Linked DNA regions of Anolis sagrei. The main gene of each other region encodes a partner of the protein of the gene in region 3 in a complex. Links are inferred from orthologs where the notes say so. Each region holds a gene or a part of one and is shown on either strand. Other genes may lie near its edges.

Region 1 (7,577 bases), on a different chromosome or scaffold from region 3:
CTTGGGCCCTTGACTATGGAAAGAGAGGCTATAAATTTCATAAACCATTTGGGCCCAGAGTATTTGACAACCGGCATCCCCACCTACAAATCTGTTTGGATTCTGTGATCAGCGGAGGGGGTCCTCCTCTCAGTCCCACCCCGGTCTCAAGCACGGCTGGTGGGAACAACTGGTGGGGACAAAACTGACTGACTATTTTAATTTACCAAAGAGCTATATTTTTATATCTTTAGACAGATTTTAACTCTTTAATTGTATTATGTATGTTGCCAGACTGACTGATTTATGTTTTTATAGCCAAAGGCTTTTTGATTCGATTCTATGTTTAAATGTTTTCATTTTATTGTTGTACGCAGCATTTAATGTTTGCCATTTTTGTTTATGGAAGCCACCCTGAGTCCCTTTGGGGAGAGAGGGCAAGTTAAAAATAAAGTTTTATTATTATTATATCTATATCTGTGAATAATGAGTACCTTAAAAACAAAAGAACCAATGAATGAAATCACACCAAATTTGGCAACAAAACGTCCCACAACACAAGGAGTGACCATCACTCAAAAAATCATGATTTTGTCATTTGGGAGTTGTACTTGCTGGGATTTATAGTTCACCTACAATCAAAGAGCATTCTGAACTCCTTCAACAATGGAATTGAACCAAACTTGGCAAACAGAACTCCCATGACCAACAGAAAATACTGGAAGGGTTTGGTGGGCATTGACCTTGAGTTTGGAAGTTGTACTTCACCTACATTCAGAGAGCACTGTGGACTCAAACAATGATGGATCTGGACCAAACTTGGCACAAGCACTCAATACATCCAAATATGAACACAGATGGAGTTTGGGGGAAATAGACCTTGACATTTGGGAGTTGTAGTCACTGGGATTCACAGTTCACTTATAATCAAAGAGCATTCTGAACCCTATGAACGACAGAATTGGGGCAAACTTCCCACACAGAAACCCCATGACAAACAGAAAATACTTAAGGCCATCCAATCCAACTCCCTTCACCAGGGCAAGAACACATAATCAAAGTCCTCCTGACAAAGAGCCATCCAGCCATAGATATAGATAGATATAATTCACACACTCACAGATATAGTATCATAGATTTGAAAGGGACCCTTAAAGAAGGACAATGATATGTTGCATGTTCCAGGGTGGACAAACCAGACACTCTCCACATCAAAACCGACAAAGAAACAGCAAGAAATACTGTTTACCCACAAGCATAAAGTAATAACATATATTAGAAACCAACACTTTCTCATTATTTTCCAGATCAACAGACTGGGCCACAGCAACACGTGGCAGGGGACAGCTAGTATATATATATATATATATATATATATATATATATATATATAAATGCTCTGTTCGTTTTGAGTGACATAGTAACTCAATATCCACTGGACGAATTGCTGCCAAATTTGACCATAAGACACCTATTAACCCAAGGAGTTACCATCACTCAAAAAATCGATTTTGTCATTTTGGAGTTGTAGTTGCTGGGATTTATAGTTCCCTGCAATGAAAGAGCATTGTGAACTCCACCAACGATGGAATCGAACCAAACTTGGCACACAGAACACCCATGACCAACAGAAAACGTTAGAAGGGTTTGGTGGGCATTGATCTTGAGTTTTGGAGTTGTAGTTCACCTACATGCAGAGGGCACTGTGGACTCAAACAACTGAAAAATCTAGACCAAACTTGGCATGAATACTCCATATGTCCAAATATGAACACAGATGGGTGTTTAGGCAGAAATAGACCTTGACTGGGATTTATAGTTTCTGGGGGTCTTTAGTAACCCTTCTGACACCCCCTCACGACCCCCAGGTTGGGAAATGCTGCCTTAAGACCATCCACTCCAACTCCCTTCACCAGAGCAAGAAAATATAATCAAAGCCCTCCTGACACAAAGTCACCCAGCCATACACACACACACACACACACACACACATATATATGAGATTCACACACATACATATATATGTATATGACAGATATAGTACTAGAGATTTGAAAGGGCAAATATATGTTGCATGTTCCAAAGTAGGCAAACCAGACAACCTCTGCATCAACACTGACAAAGAAACAAGAAACATTGTTTACCCACAAGTATAAAGAAATTACATATATTAGAAACCAACAACTTCTTATTACTTTATTTTCAAGATCACCAGACTGGGCCACAGCAATGCGTGGCAGGGGGCGGCTAGTTATATTGTAAATAAATAAAGTTCAATAAATCCCTGATTCAGAACATTGTTATGGTTTCCAATGGCACCTTTGAAGGGCACCTTGAAGAGAGAGGACGCCCAGAGGAAAGGCGCCTGGAGAGGAGGGAGGGTGCGAATACCCTGTGGAATCAATGCGGTTTTGACACCACTTGAGTTGCCATGGCTCTGTGTGGAGTTGTATTTCATTGAGGGGCTAGCCCTCTGGGGCAGAGAAGGCTGGAGACCTAGCAACTACTCCCAGGATAGCACAGCATAAGGCCAGGGCAAAGCAAGTCATTCCATAGTGTGGACCAGGGTATGGGCAAGCTTGGGCCCTCCAGGTGTTTTGGACTTCAACTCCCACAATTCCTAACAGCCTACCGGCTGTTAGGAATTGTGGGAGTTGAAGTCCAAACCACCTGGAAGGCCCAAGCTTGCTCATACCTGGTGTAGATGCACCTGAGGAGAGGCAAAGAGAAGGCGCGCGCACCTCGAAGACGACGCGGCCCAGGGGCTGGTTGTCGGCACCCACGTCCAGGAAGACCAGGGGGTTGTCGTCGTCGTCCTCGCCGCGGCGGCTGCTGCTGCTGCTGTCGCTGCACTCCCGGGTGGCGGAGCGGAGCAGCGGGAGGAGGAGGAGGCGACTGCGGGCGGAGCGCAGGGCCAGCATGGCGGCGGGCAGAAGACAGAGAGACCTGAGAGGAAGCGTCCTTTCCCGCGTCCCTCTCTCAAGCGCGCTGAGAAAGCCGGCCTCGCGCTTCAGGCCTCTTTTATAAGCCCTCCTCCCCGCCTCCCTTCGGCGACGGCGCGTGGCCGTGACGTCACGAGGCGGGCGTTTGGACGGCGCGCGAGAGGGCCTTCCCCACAGGCATCTCCTGCGAGGGGCCTCTCTAAGGGTCTGGGTCTCACTCAACTACAATCCCCACTCAGCTCTACTGTGATAACGCACTGAGTCGGCTTTCTTCTGGGAGGAGAAGGCCCCAGTTGTGATGAAGGTAGTTGGGTTGTTGTAGGTTTTTTCGAGCTATATGGCCATGTTCTAGAGGCATTCTCTCCTGACGTTTCGCCTGCATCTATGGCAAGCATCTTCAGAGGTTGTGACCTCACCTCACAACCTCTGAGGATGCTTGCCATACGTGCAGGCAAAACGTCAGGAGAGAATGCCTCTAGAACAGGGGTCCTCAAACTACGGCCCGGGAGCCGGATATGGCCCTCCAAGGTCATTTACTCAGCCCTCGCTCAGGGTCAACCTAAGTCTGAAATGACTTGAAAGCACACAACAACAACAACAATCCTATCTCATCAACCAAAAGCAGGCCCACACTTCCCAATGAAATACAATGGTTTATATTTCTTAAAATTGTTCTTTTTTATTGTATTGTATTGTTCTGAAGTGTTTTTTGCACTACAAATAAGATGTGTGCAGTTTGCATAGGAATTCATTTTTTTTTTCCAAATTATAATCCGGCCCTCCAACAGTTTGAGGAACTATGACCTGGCCCTCTCTTTAAAAAGTTTGTGGACCCCTGCTCTAGAACATGGCCATATAGCCCGAAAAAAACCTACAACAACCCAGTGATTCCAGCCATGAAAGCCATCGACAAGGTACTTACTTGTTTACTCTGCTGAGAAGCAGAGAGACCCTGCTTCCTCCTCTGGGGAGTTCAGGGCAGTGGGGTCAGTCCTGTTCAACATCTTTATTAGTGACTTAGATCAGTGGTTCTCAACCTTCCTAATGCTGTGACCCCTTAATACAGTTCCTCTTGTTGTGGTGACCCCCAACCATAATATTATTTTCATTGCTACTTCATAATTGTAATGTTGCTCCTGTTATGAATCGTAATGTCAATATCTGATATGCAGGTTGTATTTTCATTCATTGAACCAAATTGGGCACAAATGCCCGATAGGCCCAAATTTGAATACTGGTAGGGTGGGGGGGGGGGGGAGAGATTTTGTCATTTGGGAGTTGTAGTTGATGGGATTTATAGTTCACCTACACTCAAAGAGCATTCTGAACTCCACTAATGATGAAATTGAACTAAACTTGGCATACAGAACTCTCATTACTAATAGAAAATACTGGAATGATTTGATGGGCATTGCGTTTTGGAGTTGTAGTTCACCTACATCCAGAGGAGCACTGTGGACTCGAACTGATCGATCTGGACCAAACTTGGCATGAATGCTCAATATGGCCAAACGTGAACAGTGGTGTAGTTTGGTGAAAATAGACCTTGACATTTGGGAGCTATAGTTGCTGGGATTTACAGTTCACCTGCAGTCAGAGTATTCTGAATTCACCAATGATAGAATTGAGCCAAACTTACCACACAGAAGCCCCATGGTCAACAGAAAATACCGTGTTTTCAGATGGTCTTTGGTGACTCATCTGACACCCCCCTTGCGATCCGCTCAGGGGTTCCGACGTTGGTGAAAGCTCGAGGCGGGCGAGGGGGCTTTGCGCGAGGCCAGGCCTCGTGCTGAGGACCCCTTGCCCGCCTCGCGTCCACGCCGAATGGGGTGGGGCCAACGGAGGCGGACTCGCGACCCCTCCGAAATGGCCAGATGACCACCCTGGGGGTCACAACCCCCAGGTTGAGAACCACTGACTTAGATGGAGGGTATTTTTATTTGTCGTGTCAGGGCAACCAGTCAATTGTATTACATTTCTAACAGAACAAAACAAACAAACAGACAAATACAAAATGTGTGAGCTTGGTAGTTGATTAAATATCCTTTGACCAGTAGCTGGCCACTTGGAGTGCTTCTGGTGTTACTGCAAGAAGGTCCTCCATTGTGCATGTGGCAGGGCTCAGGGTGCATTGCAGTAGATGGTCTGTGGTTTGCTCTTCTCCACACTCGCATGTCGTGGATTCCACTTTGTGGCCCCATTTCTTGAGGTTGGCTCTGTATCTCGTGGTGCCAGAGCGCAGTCTGTTCAGCGCCTTCGAAGTCTCCCAGTCTTCTGTGTGCCCAGGGGGGAGTCTCTCATTTGGTATCAGCCATTGGTTGAGGTCCTGGGTTTGAGCCTGTCACTTTTGGACTCTCGCTTGCTGAGGTGTTCCAGCGAGTGTCTCTGTAGATTTTAGAAAACTATTTCTAGATTTAAGTCATTGACGTGCTGGTTGATACCCAAACAGGGGATGAGCTGGAGATGTCTCTTCCTTGGTCCTTTCACTATTGGCTGCTACTTCCCCCAGCTAAGCAGTGTAATTTCTCCAGTGGTGTAGGGCGCAGACACCCCATGATAATGCGGCATGTCTCATTAAGAGCCACATCTACTGTTTTAGTGTGGTGAGATGTGTTCCACACTGGGCATGCATACTCATCAGCAGAGTAGCATAGTGCAAGGGCAGATGTCTTCACTGTGTCTGGTTGTGATCCCCAGATGAAGGGTTAGAAGGCATGATCATTAAGTTTGCAGACAACACCAATACTCCAGAGGACAGGAGCAGAATTCAAAACAATCTTGACAGATTGAGAGATGGGCCAAAACTAACAAAATGAAATTCAACAGGGACAAATGCAAGATACTCCACTTAGGCAGAAAAAACGAAATGCAAAGATACAGAATGGGGGACGCCTGGCTTGAGAGCAGTAAATGTGAAAAAGATCTTGGAGTCCTCGTGGACAACAAGTTAAACATGAGCCAATAATGTCATGGGGCGGGGGGAAAAAGCCAATGGGATTTTGGCCTGCATAAATAGGAGCATAGTGTCTAGATCCAGGGAAGTCATGCTACCGCTCTATTCCGGCTTGTTTAGACCACACCTGGAATATTGTGGCACCACAATTGAAGAGAGATGTTGACAAGCTGGAATGTGTGCAGAGGAGGGCGACTAAAATGATCAAGGGTCTGGAGAACAAGCCCTATGACGAGTGGCTAAAAGAGCTGGGCATGTTTAGCCTGAAGAAGAGAAGGCTGATAGGAGACATGATAGCCATGTATAAATATGTGAGAGGAAGTTACAAGGAGGAGGGAGCAAGCTTGTTTTCTGCTTCCTTGGAGGCTAGGACATGGAACAATGGCTTCAAACTACAAGAAAGGAGATTCCACCTGAACATGAGGAAGACCTTCCTGACTGTGAGAGCCGTTCAGCAGTGGAACTCTCTGCTCTGGAGTGTGGTGGAGGCTCCTTATTTGGAAGCTTTCAAACAGAGGCTGGATGGCCATCTGCCGGGTGCTTTGATTGCAATATTCCTGCTTCTTGGCAGGGCGTTGGACTGGATGGCCCATGAGGTCTCTTCCAACTCTATGATTCTATGTTGCCTCTCAGAAAGATGTGAAGAGCCCCCTTGGTCGCCTCAGTGCCTGCTGCTTGGATCTCCTTTCCCTCTGGCCTCCTCTGAACCCATGGACAAGTGGTACTTGTGAGGGTTGGTAAATGTGTATAAGCAGAGTAAGTAGAAGCTTTACCACAGTATTTAAACTAAAGTATATCCTGCTTGGACCGTGAGAAGATCCAGCCAGTCCATACTTCAGGAAATAAAGCCCAACTGCTCACTGGAGGGACGCATAGTAGAGGCAAAGATGAAGTACTTTGGCCACATCATGAGAAGAAAGGAAAGCTTAGAGAAGACAATTATGCTGGGGAAAATGGAAGGAAAAAGGAAGAGGGGTCGACCAACGGCAAGGTGGATGGATGGCATCCTTGAAGTGACTGGCTTGACCTTGAAGGAGCTGATGGCCGACAGGGAGCTCTGGTATGGGCTGATCCATGAGGTCACAAAGAGTCGGAAGCAACTGGAACAAATAAACAACATATTGATTTCAGGTTCGAGCCCTGCTTTCATGTATTTTAAGAAAGAGATGGCAGAATTATTAGAACTTTGGCTGACATTAGATATTAATTTAACAGAGTTGGAAGCGACTGTGGTCCCCTGTTTTCTGAGTGTTCCACAGGAACTTGTTATATTCAGTTAGTTGTTCTTTACCTTGAGAGTTTTTGTGTGGGCGGTTCCAGACAGCCCTTTATCTCAGGATCATTCGCGTTTTTAAAACGTGGATGTTCCTGGGGGCCTGTCTGCACCCACCCCAGAAAGTGTTCGCTTTCTGGGGTGGGTGTCCACATGTTCTGTTGGGACTAGCCCAGCAGAACATCAGGGGACCTGCCTCCAGTACACTCTTGCAGCACCTCTGAAAAGTAATGAAAACTTACCCGGCCTCCAGTACACTCATGCAGCACCTCAACTGGTGCTTAGAAATGACATGCCAGGAGAGTGGGGGGGGGGGGGGGGAGGAAAATCGCTCTCCCCCCCCCCCCCCCCACTCTCCTGGCGCATCATTTCTATGCGTCAGGAGAGGTGCTGCAAGAGTGTACTGGAGGCCAGGTAAGCTTTCTTT
Region 2 (7,996 bases), on a different chromosome or scaffold from region 3:
CCTGGTGAAATCAGGTCGGCCCACTCTCTCCTGTCCTTTAGAAGGATGGTAAAAACTTGGCTGTGGGACCAAGCTTTCGGGACAGGGCAATAAAGCGGCAATAGGAAAAATGACCAGGCCAATTAGATTTGACACGGATGTCTAGGACGGTTTTAAATGGTGTATTTTAATATTTTGATAAATGTTTTTTTAATGTTTTTGTATTGTATATGAATTTGTGTCCCGACATTGAATGTTTGCCTTATATATGCTGTGCTCTGCCCTGAGTCCCCTTCGGGGTGAGAAAGGCAGAATATAAATGCTTAAAATAAATAAATAAATCTATATAAATAAAATGTAATGTTCGTTTGTGGGATTAACAGAACTCAAAAACCACTGGACGAATTGACACCAAATTTGGACACAAGACACCTATCAGGCCAATGTAGGGCCTTCACTAAAAAAAAATTGATTTTGTCATTTGGGAGCTGTAGTTGCTGGGATTTATAGTTCACCTACAATCAAAGAACATCGTGAACCACACCAACCATGGAATTGAACCAAACTTGGCACACAGTTCTCCCACGACCAACAGAAAATACTGAAAGGATTTGGTGGGAAGTGTCCTTTGGTTTTGGAATTATAGTTCACCTACATCCCAAGATCACTGTGGACTCAAACAATGATGGATCTGGACCAAACTCTACAAGAATATTCAATATGCCCAAATGTGAACACTGGTGGAATTTGGGGAAAATAGAATCTTGACAATTGGGAATTGTAGTTGCTGGGATTTATAGTTCACTTTCAATCACAGAGCATTCTGAACCCCATCAATGATAGAATTGGGCCAAACTTCCCACAGCAACGCGTGGCAGGGGATGGCTAGTAAATAAATAAAAATTTAATATTCGTTTGTGGGATGAACATAACTCAAAAACCACGGGACGAATTGACACCAAATTTGGACACAAAACAGATAGCAAGCCAAAGAGTGACCATCCCTCATAAAAACACTGAAAAACACATAAGAGACTTAAAAAGCCATTAAAAATTACAACACATGTGCAAAACCACATATATACCATATATACACATATCCACAAATATACACACACAAAACACATATACACAGACCAGGTCACAGCAACACATGGCAGGGGACGAATAATAATAATAATAATAATAATAATAATTTTTTAAAAAACTTTATTTATACCCCGCCACCATCTCCCCAAGGGACTCAGTGCAGCTTACATGAGGCCGAGCCCACAATACAACAATACAAGCAATAACAATACAAAGCACTTCAAATAAATCTCATACACAGAATAACACAAACATTAACAATAGCACAATACACATTTAAAATAATAATATATTATATTATTGATAATATTGTTATATCTATCTATTTAGCCATATATCTATCCCCTCTCTCTTCATCCATGTAGAAAGTCAACATGGCATAATGGGCCAACTTCGGCCCTTCAGGTGTTTTGGACTTCAACTCCCACAACTCCACAAAAAAGGAATTGTGAGAGTTGAAGTCCAAAACACCTTGAGGGCAAAGTTGGCCTATGCCTGGTGTAGTTGCATCTCATGTGTTGCCTTGATTTCTATAAGCCTCAAGCAAGCTAAGGGTATGTTATGTAATCAACTCCAGGCTGATGAAACACCATAGTTACAAGACCATATAGCTATCTTGTTATATCTTGCATACCTTTGCATTTCTGGAGACCTACGGTAAAAGCACAAGGGTGACTTGCACTAACTCTGTTTAAAGTCCACAACAGTACACCTTGAACCGGTTTCTGTGCCTTTCGTCAGCCGCCGTGTCAGGTTCTTCAAGTCACTGGGGGAAAGGCCGTTCTCCTTCTTCCGCATCTGAACTGTTTTGCAAATGGAATTGGAATAATTCTTCACCTTCCTCTCGGAACTGGGCATTTATTAATCAAGATTCAATAGCAGAACTTGGAAAGTTGCAATGTATCGAGAAAACTCCCAGAACCATCCCAAAGAGCCATGCTTTTTATAACACCATCCTGGAAAGTTTATTATAACGAGCTTTGGTTGTCATAAAAAAGGTATGACATTCAGTCCAGTCGTGCCCGACCCTGGGGGTTGGTGCGCATCTCCATTTCTAAGCCAAAGAGCGGGCGTTGTCCTTAGACACCTCCAAAGTCATGTGGCCAGCATGACTGTGTGGAGCGCCGTTACCGTCCCATCGAAGCGGTACCTATTGATCTACTCACATTTCCATGTTGTCGAACTGCTAGGTTGGCAGAAGTTGGGGCTGACAGTGGGAGCTCACCCGGCTCCCCAGATTCAAACTGCCAACTTTCAGTCAGCAAGTTCAACAGCTCAGCGGTTTAACCGGCTGCACCACAGAGGGCTTCTTGGTTGTCATAGCTCAAAGGTTTTTCAAGTAGGAAAACTCCCAACAGGAATTAGTTTGATAGTGCAAATGGGTATATTAAATTTTAACATTTCCCTATTGTGTGTTTTAATTGTCTTGTTATTTTAAGTTATGAGCTAGTTTTGAGTCTGTTTCAGGTTTTAAAAAATCAGGATATTATTATAATCCTTATTTATAATATTTATTTATACCCCACTTTATCTCCCTCGGTGGCGCAGTGGGTTAAACCACTGAGCTGCTGAACTTGCTGACCAAAAGGTCGCTGGTTCAAATCCGGGGATCAGGTGAGCTCCCGCTGCTAGCCTCAGCTTCTGCCAACCTAGCAGTTAAAAAACATGCAAATGTGAATAGATCAATAGATACAGCTCCGGCTGGAAGGTAACTGCACTCCATGCACTCATGTTGGCCACATGACCTTGGAGGTGTCTACAGACAACGCTGGCTCTTCGGCTTAGAAATGGAGACGAGCACCAACCCTCAGAGTCGAACACGACTGGACTTAATGTCAGGGGACAACCTTTACCTACCTAATACATTAAATATAATTACTACTGATAATATCATGTTTTATTACGGTATATTTGTATTTTTTTGAAATGATTTTATTGAAGATTAGTATATATTTACATACATGGAAAGTGGGGGAACATTTAAAAGATAGGAAAATGGGAAATAAAGAGAAGAGAGAAAAAAAGAAAAAAAGGGGGGGTTTGATTTCCATTCCATCTTCATGGTTTCTTCTCACTTTACTTTTTATAGTTGTTACATAATTTTCCGTTCAAATTATTATGGTATATTTGTATTTTTTAAGTCGTATTTTTTATTGTGAGTCGCTTTGGAAAGACATAAAAAATAAACAAATAAAAAAATAAAAAATAATATTAATAATATACAAACATTAAAACAGTATTAAATAGGATCAATATCAAAAACAATTCAGTTTAGATCCATAAAAATATTACGAGAATAATAATGATGATGATGATAATGATAATAAATTACTACTGGCTGCATACTACAGAGCTTGTAATGAGAATAAACAAATAAAAATAAAATAATAATATTAATAATAATATACAAACATTAAAACAGTATAAAACAGGATAAATATTAAAAACAATTCAGTTTAGATCCATAAAAATATTACGAGAATAATAATGATATATTTTTTTTGTCCTGTCATGAGTTGCTCCTGTTGTGAGAGAATTGGCCATCTGCAAGGACGTTGCCCAGGGGATGCCCGGATGATTTGATGTTTTATCAACCTTGTGGGAGGCTTCTCTCATGTCCTGGCATGAGGAGCTGGAGCTGATAGAGGGAGCTCATCCGCCTCTCCCCGGATTCGAACCTGCGACCTGTCGATCTTCAATCCTGCCGGCACAGGGCTTTAACCCACTGCGCCACCGGGAACTGCAATAATGATAATAATAATAATAATAATAATAATAAGTATGCAGCCAGTTGTAATTAATAATTATAATAATTATAATTATAATTATGATAATAATTATAATAATAATTACAACTGGCTGCATACTACAGAGCTTGTAATAAGAATAAACAAATTAAAATAATAATAATAATGATAATAATATACAAACATTAAAACAGTATTTAATAGGATCAATATTAAAAACAATTCAGTTTAGATCCATAAAAATATTACGAGAATAATAATGATATATTTTTTTGTCGTGTCAGGAGTTGCTCCTGTTGTGAGAGAATTGGCCATCTGCAAGGACGTTGCCCAGGGGACGCCCGGATGATTTGATGTTTTATCATCCTTGTGGGAGGCTTCTCTCATGTCCTCGCATGAGGAGCTGGAGCTGATAGAGGGAGCTCATCAGCCTCTCCCCAGATTCGAACCTGCGACCTGTCGATCTTCAATCCTGCCGGCACAGGGGTTTAACCCACTGCGTCACCGGGGGCTGCAATAATGATAATAATAATCATAATAAGTATGCAGCCAGTTGTAATTAATAATTATAATAATTATAATAATAATTACAACTGGCTGCATACTACAGAGCTTGTAATAAGAATAAACAAATTATAATAATAATAATAATGATAATAATATACAAACATTAAAACAGTATTTAATAGGATCAATATTAAAAACAATTCAGTTTAGAACCATAAAAATATAATAATAATGATGATGATGATGAATTACAACTGGCTGCATACTACAGAGCTTGCAATGAGAATAAACAAATAAAAATAAAATAATAATAATATACAAACATTAAAACAGTATTTAATAGGATCAATATTAAAAAACAATTCAGTTTAGATCCATAACAATATTACAATAATAATAATAATAATAATAATGAATTCCTCCTGGCTGCATACTACAGAGCTTGTAATGAGAAACCCATGTGGCAGGGCGGCCATCTTGGGAGTGGGCTGCAAGGGGCGGGGCCAAGAGGTGACCTCTGTAATGCGAGGCCGAGGGGCGGCTCTCTTGAGAGCGGGAGGAGGGGGCGGGGCCAAGAAGCAGCGTCGTGCGTGCCTCAAAGTGGCGGCCATTTTGAGAGCGGGCTGCGAGACGGGAGGGAATAGGAGGGCGGCCATCTTGAGAGCGGGCCGAGGAGAGGAAAAGAGGAGCGCAGCGTGCGAGGCGGAAAAGCGGCCATCTTGGGAGTGGGCTGCGAGGGAAGCGAGCCGCCAGCTTTTAAGATGGCGGCGCCGGCTCCTTTTCCTAGTCTCCCTTCTGTTTTCTCCTGAGGTGAAATCCTCATTTTTTCCCTCATCGAAAGGACTCATCCGAGGATGGCTTCTTTGCTGCGGCTTCTCCTCCGGGGAAGCTTCCGAAGGTTGGGACCGAGGGCTTTTCTGGTGAACGGGGTTTTTCGTGGCGTCTGCTCCGGTCCGCCTCTCAGGAAAGGCCCAGGCTGCGGCCTTCAGGTAAAGGAGGGGGGAATCCACACTTGGGCCCTTGGCTTCCTCAGGATCGAATTAATGTTGTCTCTATGATGGGGAAGTTCCTTGTAGAACTACAAGTCCTTCAGGCATTTCCAAATAGGAAATCTGTAATAATTTTAGTATGAATAGTAATGATGTATCGTCAAAGGCTTTCATGGCCGGAGTCACTGGGTTGTTGTAGGTTTTTCCGGGCTATATGGCCATGTTCTGGAGGCAGTTTTTCTCCTGACGTTTCGCCTGCATCTATGGCAAGCATCCTCAGAGGTAGTGAGGTCTGCTGGAAGTAGGAAAAATGGGTTTATATATCTGTGGAATGACCAGGGTGGAACAAAGGACTTTTGTTTGCTGGGGCTAGCTGTGGATGTTTCAGCTGATCACCTTGATTAGCATTCAATGGCTTGGAAGTGCCCGGGGGGAATCCCTTGTTGAGAGTGATTTTATGTGCCTGTTTGTTTCCCCTCTGTTGTTTTGCTGTTGTGATTTTTGAGTCCTTTCATACTAGTAGCCAGATTTTGTTCATTTTCATGGTTTCTTCCTTTCTTCCTTCCTTTCTGATGAACCAACCTGGACACAGCATATTATTTGAGAACACAGAAGTGCTGGACCACTCTCACAACCACCATGTCAGACTACACAGAGAAGCCATTGAAATCCACAAGCATGTGGACAATTTCAACATATGTCATCTCATATGTTCAAAATATAGCTGCTTCGATGTGTTGTCAAAGGCTTTCATAGCCGGAATCACTGGGTTGCTGTGAGTTTTCCCGGCTGTCTGGCCATGTTCGAGAAGCATTCTCTCCTGATGTTTCGCCTGCATCTATGGCAGGCATCCTCAGAGTTTGTGAGGTCTGTTGGAAACTAGGAACATGTGGTTTATATATCTGTGGAATGACGTCCAGGGTGGGAGAAAGAACTTGTCTGTTTGAGATAGGTGTGAATGTTGCAATTGGCCACCTTGTTTAGCAGTTAATGGCCTTGAAGCTTCAAAGTCTGGCCACTTACTGTGTGGGGGAATCTTTTGTTGGGAGGCGATTAGCTGGCTCTGATTGTTTCTTGTCTGGAATTCCTGTTGTCTGGAATTCCCCCGTTTTCTGATTGTTGTTCTTTATTCACTAGTAGCCAGATTTTGTTCATTTTCATACTTTTATCCTTCCTGTTGAAATTGTTCACATGCTTCTTGTGGATTTCAGTGGCTTCTCTGTGTAGCCTGACATGGTGGTTGTCAGAGTGGTCCAGCCTTTCTGTGTTCTCAAATAATGTTCTGTGTCCAGGTTGGATCATCAAGTGCTCTGCTGAGGCTGACTTCTCTGGTTGTATAATAATAACAGTGATAATGAGAGTAATAATAATAATAGTAATAATAGCAGTAGTGATAATAGTAGTAATAGTTATAATATTAGTAATGATGATAATGAGAATAGTGCCAATAATGATAATAGTAATAATGATAATAATAGTAATAAAAGTAATAGTGATAATAGTATTGATAGTAATAATGATAATAGTAATTATTCTAATCGTAATAATAATAGTCTCCAAGCTTGGATTCTGTAATAATAGAATAATTAATAATCTATCTATCTTCTGTACATCTTCTATCTATCTATCCACATAATAGAAGTGAAAATGTGTATGTGGCAGAGGTGTCCACTTACACACAGATTCCCATTTCTCAGAAAGAGCTAGGTTGGGGAGGGAATGACACACCCACGTGGGAGTTGTAGTTCGCCCTTCATTCAGAGCACTCTGAACCCCCTCAATTATGGATTTGGACCAAACTTGTTACAAAGACCCAACATGCCCAACCACGAATACAGGCAGAGTCTGGGGGTGATTGCTCTGGGAGCTGTAGTTCACCTGCATCCAGAGAAACGGTGGCCCTCACCGACAATGGACTGGGACCACACTTGTCACAGAAAAGCCCCAAGACCAACTCAACATACCATGCTGTTGGGGTTGGTGGGAATTGACCTTGATTTTGGGAGTTGTAGTTCACCTGCATTCAGAGAGCACTGAACCCAGCCAACTTTGGATCTGGACCAATCTTGGCACACAGATGCAATATCGCCAACTGTACATACAGACCTGGTTTGGGGAGGATTGACCCACGATTCTGGGAATTGTAGTTCACCCACATCTTTATACATTTTCCAAGAGGAGCATTCATAAACAATGAAATTGAAGACTGGCTTTTTTCTAATCAATAGTGTTACTAGTTAACTAAATGATTTTACCTAACCCCCCAAAACAAACAATGCCTTTTTTCAAATAATCGGGGCATTGCCAGGTACCCTGGCTAGTAATAGTAGCAATAATGATAATGATAATAATAATAATAATAGTAATGATAATAATAATAATAATAAGTAGTTAATGTTTTACCTACTTGTTTTTCAATAGAGCCTGGATTCTATCACAATAGAATAATTAATAACATAATAAGATACCTTGTAAATCATTAATAATAATGATAACAATAGTAGTAATGATAATAGTAGTAATATTAGTAATAATAATAGTCTGTAAGTAGTTAATGTTTTACCTACTTGTTTTTAAGTAGAGCCTGGAGTCTATAATAATAGAATAATTAATAATAATGTAATAAAATATCTTGGAAATCATTAATAATAATGATAGTAATAGTAGTCATGATAATAGTAGTAA
Region 3 (6,951 bases):
CAGAGAAGTACACCTTATAAGAGCCAATCTAATTCCATCCTTAAATTTGTAAAAGGCTCTACAAATTTAGCATCTGCACATTTGAGTATTGTTCACTGCATAACTCAGCATGGAATATACATTTTTCTTATTTAAACTATAAATATTGCAATATTATTGGGGGGGGGGGTTCCCTCGAAGTTGACACCCCACCCAAGTTATGCTCAGGTTTTTAGCAAATTTTGACACACCAAGCTCAAAAGGTTGCCCATCACAGGCCTAGGGTATGCCTGGATATTTTAACATCCTGTGATAGGCCTGTCCCTGCATGAGAAGCTGGAACTGAGAGATGCTCCCCGGATTCAAACCACCGACCTTTCGGTCAGCAGTCCTGTTGGCACAAGGCTTTAACCCATTGTACCACCAGAGATGAAAAGGGGATACGGGAGAGAACAGGGGAATCAGAACTACCAGGAATAGGGTTTTATTCTTGAAATATTCACTCCCATAACACTTCCTGTCATGACATGACAAATAACATGTTGCAACATCACCATCGACTTTTAAATTATATTAAGCAACTCTTTAAGAGTACCCCTCTGTCATTACTTCTAAGAATCTTAGTTGGCTCACTGAATAATGAATCAAACCGAGATTGCTATGCTGTCCTAAGCACAACAACTGGGAGGTTAATCCCAACAAATCTACATCTGCACAACATGGCTGAATGAGAGAATTTTGCTGCAATAGAATTCTGGAAGAAGCCCAGGACTAAAAAGAGAGAACAGAGAATGACACCTCAACTTGAAGGCTAGAAAAAGAAATGTATGAACATCCAAAAAATGTTAAAACTCTGTCAGCTGCAGTAAATCTACTGTTTATGAATGACAGTAGCTTTCAGCCCAGGGCAACAAATAAATCCAACCCTAATTGCTTGCTTCACACAAATCAACTGTAAAGCAGGTCACATTGGAAGAGTCCTAAAGGCAGTGCCAAATAATCTGAGGTATCATCAAATCATTTTGTGTAACATTGATAAAAAGGTCTTTCACATTACATCCAGTCAAATTTGAAGGTACTTAGTTTTCTCTTAACCATGCCTAATGAATACTGAAGAAGCTTTCTCCATTTTGTTTTAATATCATATTTAATGTTTGCAACTATGACCCAGTTACATGGTTTGCATGTTGGACTACAGATGCATCTACATTGTTGAATTATAGTAGTTTGACACCACCTTAACAGCTATATCTCAATGCCAAGGGATCATGGGATTTGTAATTTGGTGAAGCATCAGTACTCTTTGGCAGAAAAGGATGAAGACCTTGTAAAGCTACAACTCTCACAATTCCATAGCACAGAATCATAGGCGTCAAACTACATTAATTCTACAAAGCAGATGCAGCCCATGACTCTGGAGACCAAGACTGAAGCCCCTGATCAGTCATGGAAATCCATTGGATGACTTTGGGCAAGTCACACACTCTCAACCTCAGAAGAAGGCAAAGCTGACTCCCTTCTGTACAAATCTTCCGAAGAAACCCTGGTGATAGGTTGAAAGTGTTTTGAAGGCAATGGAGGATGAAGACCTTGTAAAGCTACAACCCTCACAATTCCATAGCACTGAACCATAGCAGGTGTCAAACTAGATTAATTCAATAATGTAGATGTACCCCATGACTCTGGAGATCAGGATTGAAGCCCCTGCTCAGTCATGGAAACCCACTGGATGACTTTGGCCACACATTCTCAGAGGAGAGTGAAGTTCAAACCCTTCTGTATAAATCTTCCCAAGACAACCTGGTGATAAAATTGGAAGTGTCTTGAGGGTACACATTGTTCCCAAGGGAAGCACTTTTTAAAAATCCAGCAAATCGACTGAGTTTTAACTCTTTAACTCTCTTCCACGGAAATTAATTTTTTAAAAACCACTAAAAGTGCTTTTTGAACTTTACTAGAGAGTCCGGTCTCATGTTTGCCTCCTGATAGCTCCGAAGGCCTGCAGCCCTCTCTCTCTCTTACTAGTCCACTGGAAGCCAGTGCGGGAGGCATCTGGGAGAGAAAGCCTCGGAGCTTCCTCTTCTCTGCAGGAAGCATCCCTGAGGAGAGGAGGAAGCGGCAGACCTCCTTCCCGCAGCTCCAAGGGCATGAAGGGCGTTTAGAGGGCGGCCCGGGGGGGGGGGGCAGAGGGAGAATGAGAGGAAGAGGCGACGGAGGCCGAAAGGGGACCCGGAAACGTGGGAAGCAACGCGATCCGGGCGAGGCGAGCCTTCAAAGAAGAGCCGTGGGCCTTCTCTCCGACTCGTGCGAGGCGTGCTTTGCCTCCCGGAAGGTCACGCAGCGCTGCCTTTGGCGGAGGCGCCGGACGGAAAGGAGCCCTGTCCAAATCCCACTCTCTTCTCGAGGGAGAGCAGATGGCGCGGCTTAAAATAGCCGCCCAATGGCCCGCCAGGCCCCGATCCTGGGAGGGAAGGCCGAGGCGCCGCCCGGGGAAGGATGCCGAGGAGGAGGAGGAGGAGGAGGCAGGGAGGATTGGGTGGACAGCGCTTCCAGAAAGAGGCGCCCGCGGGTGGGGTTGGCGCTCAGGCCAAGGCGGCCTCCTTGGGAAGAAAGGGAAGGCCTGGCAAGGGGGAGAGCACAGCGCCAAAGGTCAGGGCTTGGAGGGCAAGGCGATGGCTCCTCGCCCAGGCCTCAGCGCCTGGCTCCAAGCCTCCTCCACCCCTCTCTCCCTCCCTTTTGCTTCTCTACTGGATCTCCTCTACCGCGACGCAGCGTGGGCTCAGCTTACCGCTCCGCCGGGCTCCTTTCCGTGGCTGCAGCAGGGCTTCTGCGGAGTGACAGCTGGCGAGGAGGCGGCGGAGAGGGGCGAAGGGGAGGGGGAAGGGGCCGAGGGGGAGGAGGAGGAGGAGAGGCGGAACGAGGTGGGCCTGTCCTGCGCCGAGGCCAGCATCGCGGAACCCTCCCCGCGCGGCTGCGAGACGTGACTGCGGCGCCCGCTCCCGCCTGCCTGCCTGCCTCGCCGCCTCGCCCGGCTGGCTCCTGCCGAGGGGGCGGGGCTTCGGAAGCGGCTCGGCCAATCCCAGGGCCTGCCTCCCGTTGAGCGTTTCACGCGCCCCAAGAAGAGCCAGGGGGCTGGCACTGGAGGCTGCGGCAGGCGGGCAGGCGAGGCAGCGCGAGACCGTGCGCCTGCGTGGTGCTGCGAGCGAACCACGGGTCCACAGCTCGGCTTCTTGGGGCGATGCATCCTCCCTGAATGCCCAGGGTTCTGGGAGTTGGAGTACAAAAGGATGGTGGAAGAACTCTTTTAGGCCTCGGCTACACTGGCTGACTAATACAGTTTCAAACCAGTCTTGCTGTGCAAATAGTTGCATCAGGAAGAGCGAGTCTACACAGGCATCCTTCCAAGGCGTAGTATCCACTAGGCATACATTCCCCCCGTGCACTGCACTACACCTCTATCCAGGCACAGCTGTTGTTGTATATTTCTGAGCAGGCCTTTGCAAATTATTATTATTTATTATTATTTATTATGATTGTGATTATGATTATTATTATTTAGAGCTTTTATAACCCGGTCTTCTCGACCTCCGAGGAGGGACTCAGGCCGGCTAACAACAGAGAATCAATATGCAAATAAACTAAAGCATAATAACATCATAGTACATTGATACATCAAAACACATTAAAATACAGATCAAGAATTACATAAAGCTGATTCGTCAAGGTAAATCACAAATTCATCCCATCCGCCTTGTAGTCAACAGTTATTGATTCCATCATCAATCTGAGAATGCTAAGTTCCAAAGCCAAGATTTTACCATCTTTCTGAAAGTCAGGAGGCAGCATAATTATTGTATCCATCTGCAGCTACTGTAGAATGAATGCAGTTGGATACAATTTTAACTGCAACGGCTCAAGGCTATAGAATTATGGGAGTGATAGTTTGGTGAGGGAGCAGAAAAGGCTAATGAACCTGGTAAAACTAGAACTCCCAGGATTCCACAGCATTTAGCCATGACAGTTAAAATAGAATCATAGAATCATAGAATCAAAGAGTTGGAAGAGACCTCATGGGCCATCCAGTCCAACCCCCTGCCAAGAAGCAGGAATATTGCATTCAAATCACCCCTGACAAATGGCCATCCAGCCTCTGCTTAAAAGCTTCCAAAGAAGGAGCCTCCACCACACTCCGGGGCAGAGAGTTCCACTGCTGAACGGCTCTCACAGTCAGGAAGTTCTTCCTCATGTTCAGATGGAATCTCCTCTCTTGTAGTTTGAAGCCATTGTTCCGCATCCTAGTCTCCAGGGAAGCAGAAAACAAGCTTGCTCCCTCCTCCCTGTGGCTTCCTCTCACATATTTATACATGGCTATCATATCTCCTCTCAGCCTTCTCTTCTTCAGGCTAAACATGCCCAGTTCCCTAAGCCGCTCCTCATAGGGCTTGTTCTCCAGACCCTTGATCATTTTAGTCACCCTCCTCTGGACACATTCCAGCTTGTCAATATCTCTCTTAAATTGTGGTGCCCAGAATTGGACACAATATTCCAGATGTGGTCTAACCAAAGCAGAATAGAGGGGTAGCATTACTTCCTTAGATCTAGACACTATGCTCCTATTGATGCAAGCCAAAATCCTATTGGCTTTTTTTGCCGCCACATCACATTGTTGGCTCATGTTTAACTTGTTGTCCACGAGGACTCCAAGATCTTTTTCACACGTACTGCTCTCGAGCCAGGCATTGTCCCCCATTCTGTATGTTTGCATTTCATTTTTTCTGCCAAAGTGGAGTATCTTGCATTTGTCACTGTTGAACTTCATTTTGTTAGTTTTGACCCATCTCTCTAATCTGTCAAGATTGTTTTGAATTCTGCTCCTGTCCTCTGGAGTATTGGCTATCCCTCCCAATTTGGTGTCGTCTGCAAACTTGATGATCATGCCTTCTAGCCCTTCATCTAAGTCATTAATAAAGATGTTGAACAGGACCGGGCCCAGGACGGAACCCTGCGGCACTCCACTTGTCACTTCTTTCCAAGATGAAGAGGAAGCATTAGTGAGCACTCTCTGTGTTCGTCCACTTAACCAATTACAGATCCACCTCACCGTAGTTTTGCCTAGCCCACATTGGACTAGTTTCCTTGCCAGAAGGTCATGGGGGACCTTGTCGAAGGCCTTACTGAAATCCAGGTACGCTACATCCACGGCATTCCCCGCATCTACCCAGATTGTAGCTCTATCGAAGAAAGAGATCAGATTAGTCTGGCATGACTTGTTTTTGATAAATCCATGTTGACTATTAGCAATGACTGCATTTGTTTCTAAGTGTTTGCAGACCACTTCCTTAACAATCTTTTCCAGAAGCTTGCCCGGTATCGACGTGAGGCTGACCGGACGGTAGTTGTTTGGGTCATCCTTTTTTCCCTTCTTGAAGATTGGGACCACATTGGCCCTCCTCCAATCTGCTGGAACTTCTCCCGTTCTCCAAGAACTCTCAAAGATGGTTGCCAATGGTTCCAAAATGACTTCCGCTAGTTCCTTCAATACTCTGGGGTGTAGTTGATCTGGCCCTGGGGACTTGAACTCATTAAGAGCGGCCAGGTATTCCTGGACGACTTCTTTCCCAATTTGGGGTTGGATGTCCTCCAATCCCTCATCCACTCCATCTTGCTGAGGTTGAAGACTCTCTTTTTGTGAGAAGACCGAGGCAAAGAAGGCATTAAGTAGTTCTGCCTTTTCCCTATCCCCTGTCAGCATTGCCCCATCTTCTCCTCGAAGAGGTCCTATCGCCTCCTTGTTTTTCCTTTTTCTACTGACATAAGAATAGAAGCCCTTTTTATTGTTTTTAATGTCCCTGGCAAGTCTGAGCTCGTTTTTTGCTTTAGCCTTGCGGACCTTTTCCCTACAGGTGTTGGCTATTTGTTTGAATTCTTCTTTGGTGATTTCTCCCTTTTCCCACTTCTTGTGCATGTCTCTTTTGTGTCTTAGCACAGTTAGAAGTTCTTTGGACATCCATTCTGGCTTCTTTGCACTTGTCCTATTTTTTCTCTTTGTTGGCACGGTTTGCAATTGCGCCTTGAGTATTTCACTCTTGAGAAATTCCCATCCATCCGTAACTCCCTTGTTTTTTAGTATCTGTGTCCACGGAATGCTGCTCAGCGTTTCCTTCATTTTTTGGAAATCAGCTCTCCTGAAGTCCAAAATGCGGGTTTGTCTTGTCTTAGTTTCGGCCTTCCTTTGTACCTCAAATTGCAGGAGCACATGGTCACTTGCCCCTAAGGATCCTACCACTTCGACCGCATTGATCAGGTTCTCCGCATTTGTTAGGATGAGATCAAGAGTAGCCAATCCCCTTGTTGCCTCTTCTACCTTCTGGACCATGAAATTTTCTGCAAGGCAAGCGAGGAATTTGTTGGACCTTGTACTCTTGGCCAAGTTTGTTTTCCAGCAAATATCGGGATAGTTGAAATCGCCCATGACTACTACATCTCTTCTCTGTGCCTGTTTGGTCAACTGTTGGCAGAAGACTTCATCAAGTTCTTCCTCCTGGCTTGGGGGTCTGTAGTAGACGCCTACAACGACATCTTTTTGAGTCCCAGTTCCCTTGATTCTTATCCAGATGATTTCAAGCTGGTTTCCCAGATTGCTGTCTTGAATCTCTTCTGCAGCATAAGAGTTTTTGACATATAAGGCTACTCCGCCTCCTCTCCCCTTTGTTCGGTTTCTGTGAAAGAGGTTATACCCCTCGATATCTACATTCCAGCGATAGGAGTCATCCCACCAGGTTTCAGTGATCCCTATGATATCATATTTGTGGTGTTGTCCTAAAGGTTGGAGTTCGTCTTGTTTATTTCCCATGCTCTGTGCATTAGTGTAAAGACATGTGAGCCCCTGAGATCTTCCCTTGAGCTGTTTAATTGGGATTATTGTGCTTTTGGTACTTGGTCCTTGTTGTGTTTGTGCAGCCCTCCGTTTAG

What was found.
Region 1: VDAC1 (region 3) and PPIF share a complex: the UniProt entries of both Homo sapiens proteins name them as parts of the mitochondrial permeability transition pore complex. The link is inferred for Anolis sagrei from reciprocal best matches to the Homo sapiens genes VDAC1 and PPIF.
Region 2: VDAC1 (region 3) and SPG7 share a complex: the UniProt entries of both Homo sapiens proteins name them as parts of the mitochondrial permeability transition pore complex. The link is inferred for Anolis sagrei from reciprocal best matches to the Homo sapiens genes VDAC1 and SPG7.

Annotation. Positions count from the first base shown.
Region 1 is NC_090023.1:153,127,953-153,135,529, reverse strand, and holds the start of PPIF (peptidyl-prolyl cis-trans isomerase F, mitochondrial), read right to left. Parts: upstream 3,024-7,577; 5' UTR 2,901-3,023; coding exon 2,721-2,900; intron 1-2,720. UniProt on the Homo sapiens protein: PPIase that catalyzes the cis-trans isomerization of proline imidic peptide bonds in oligopeptides and may therefore assist protein folding. Involved in regulation of the mitochondrial permeability transition pore (mPTP).
Region 2 is NC_090028.1:27,667,072-27,675,067, forward strand, and holds the start of SPG7 (mitochondrial inner membrane m-AAA protease component paraplegin), read left to right. Parts: upstream 1-4,962; 5' UTR 4,963-5,176; coding exon 5,177-5,311; intron 5,312-7,996. UniProt on the Homo sapiens protein: Catalytic component of the m-AAA protease, a protease that plays a key role in proteostasis of inner mitochondrial membrane proteins, and which is essential for axonal and neuron development.
Region 3 is NC_090022.1:92,316,827-92,323,777, reverse strand, and holds the start of VDAC1 (non-selective voltage-gated ion channel VDAC1), read right to left. Parts: upstream 3,006-6,951; 5' UTR 2,930-3,005; coding exon 2,768-2,929; intron 1-2,767. UniProt on the Homo sapiens protein: Non-selective voltage-gated ion channel that mediates the transport of anions and cations through the mitochondrion outer membrane and plasma membrane.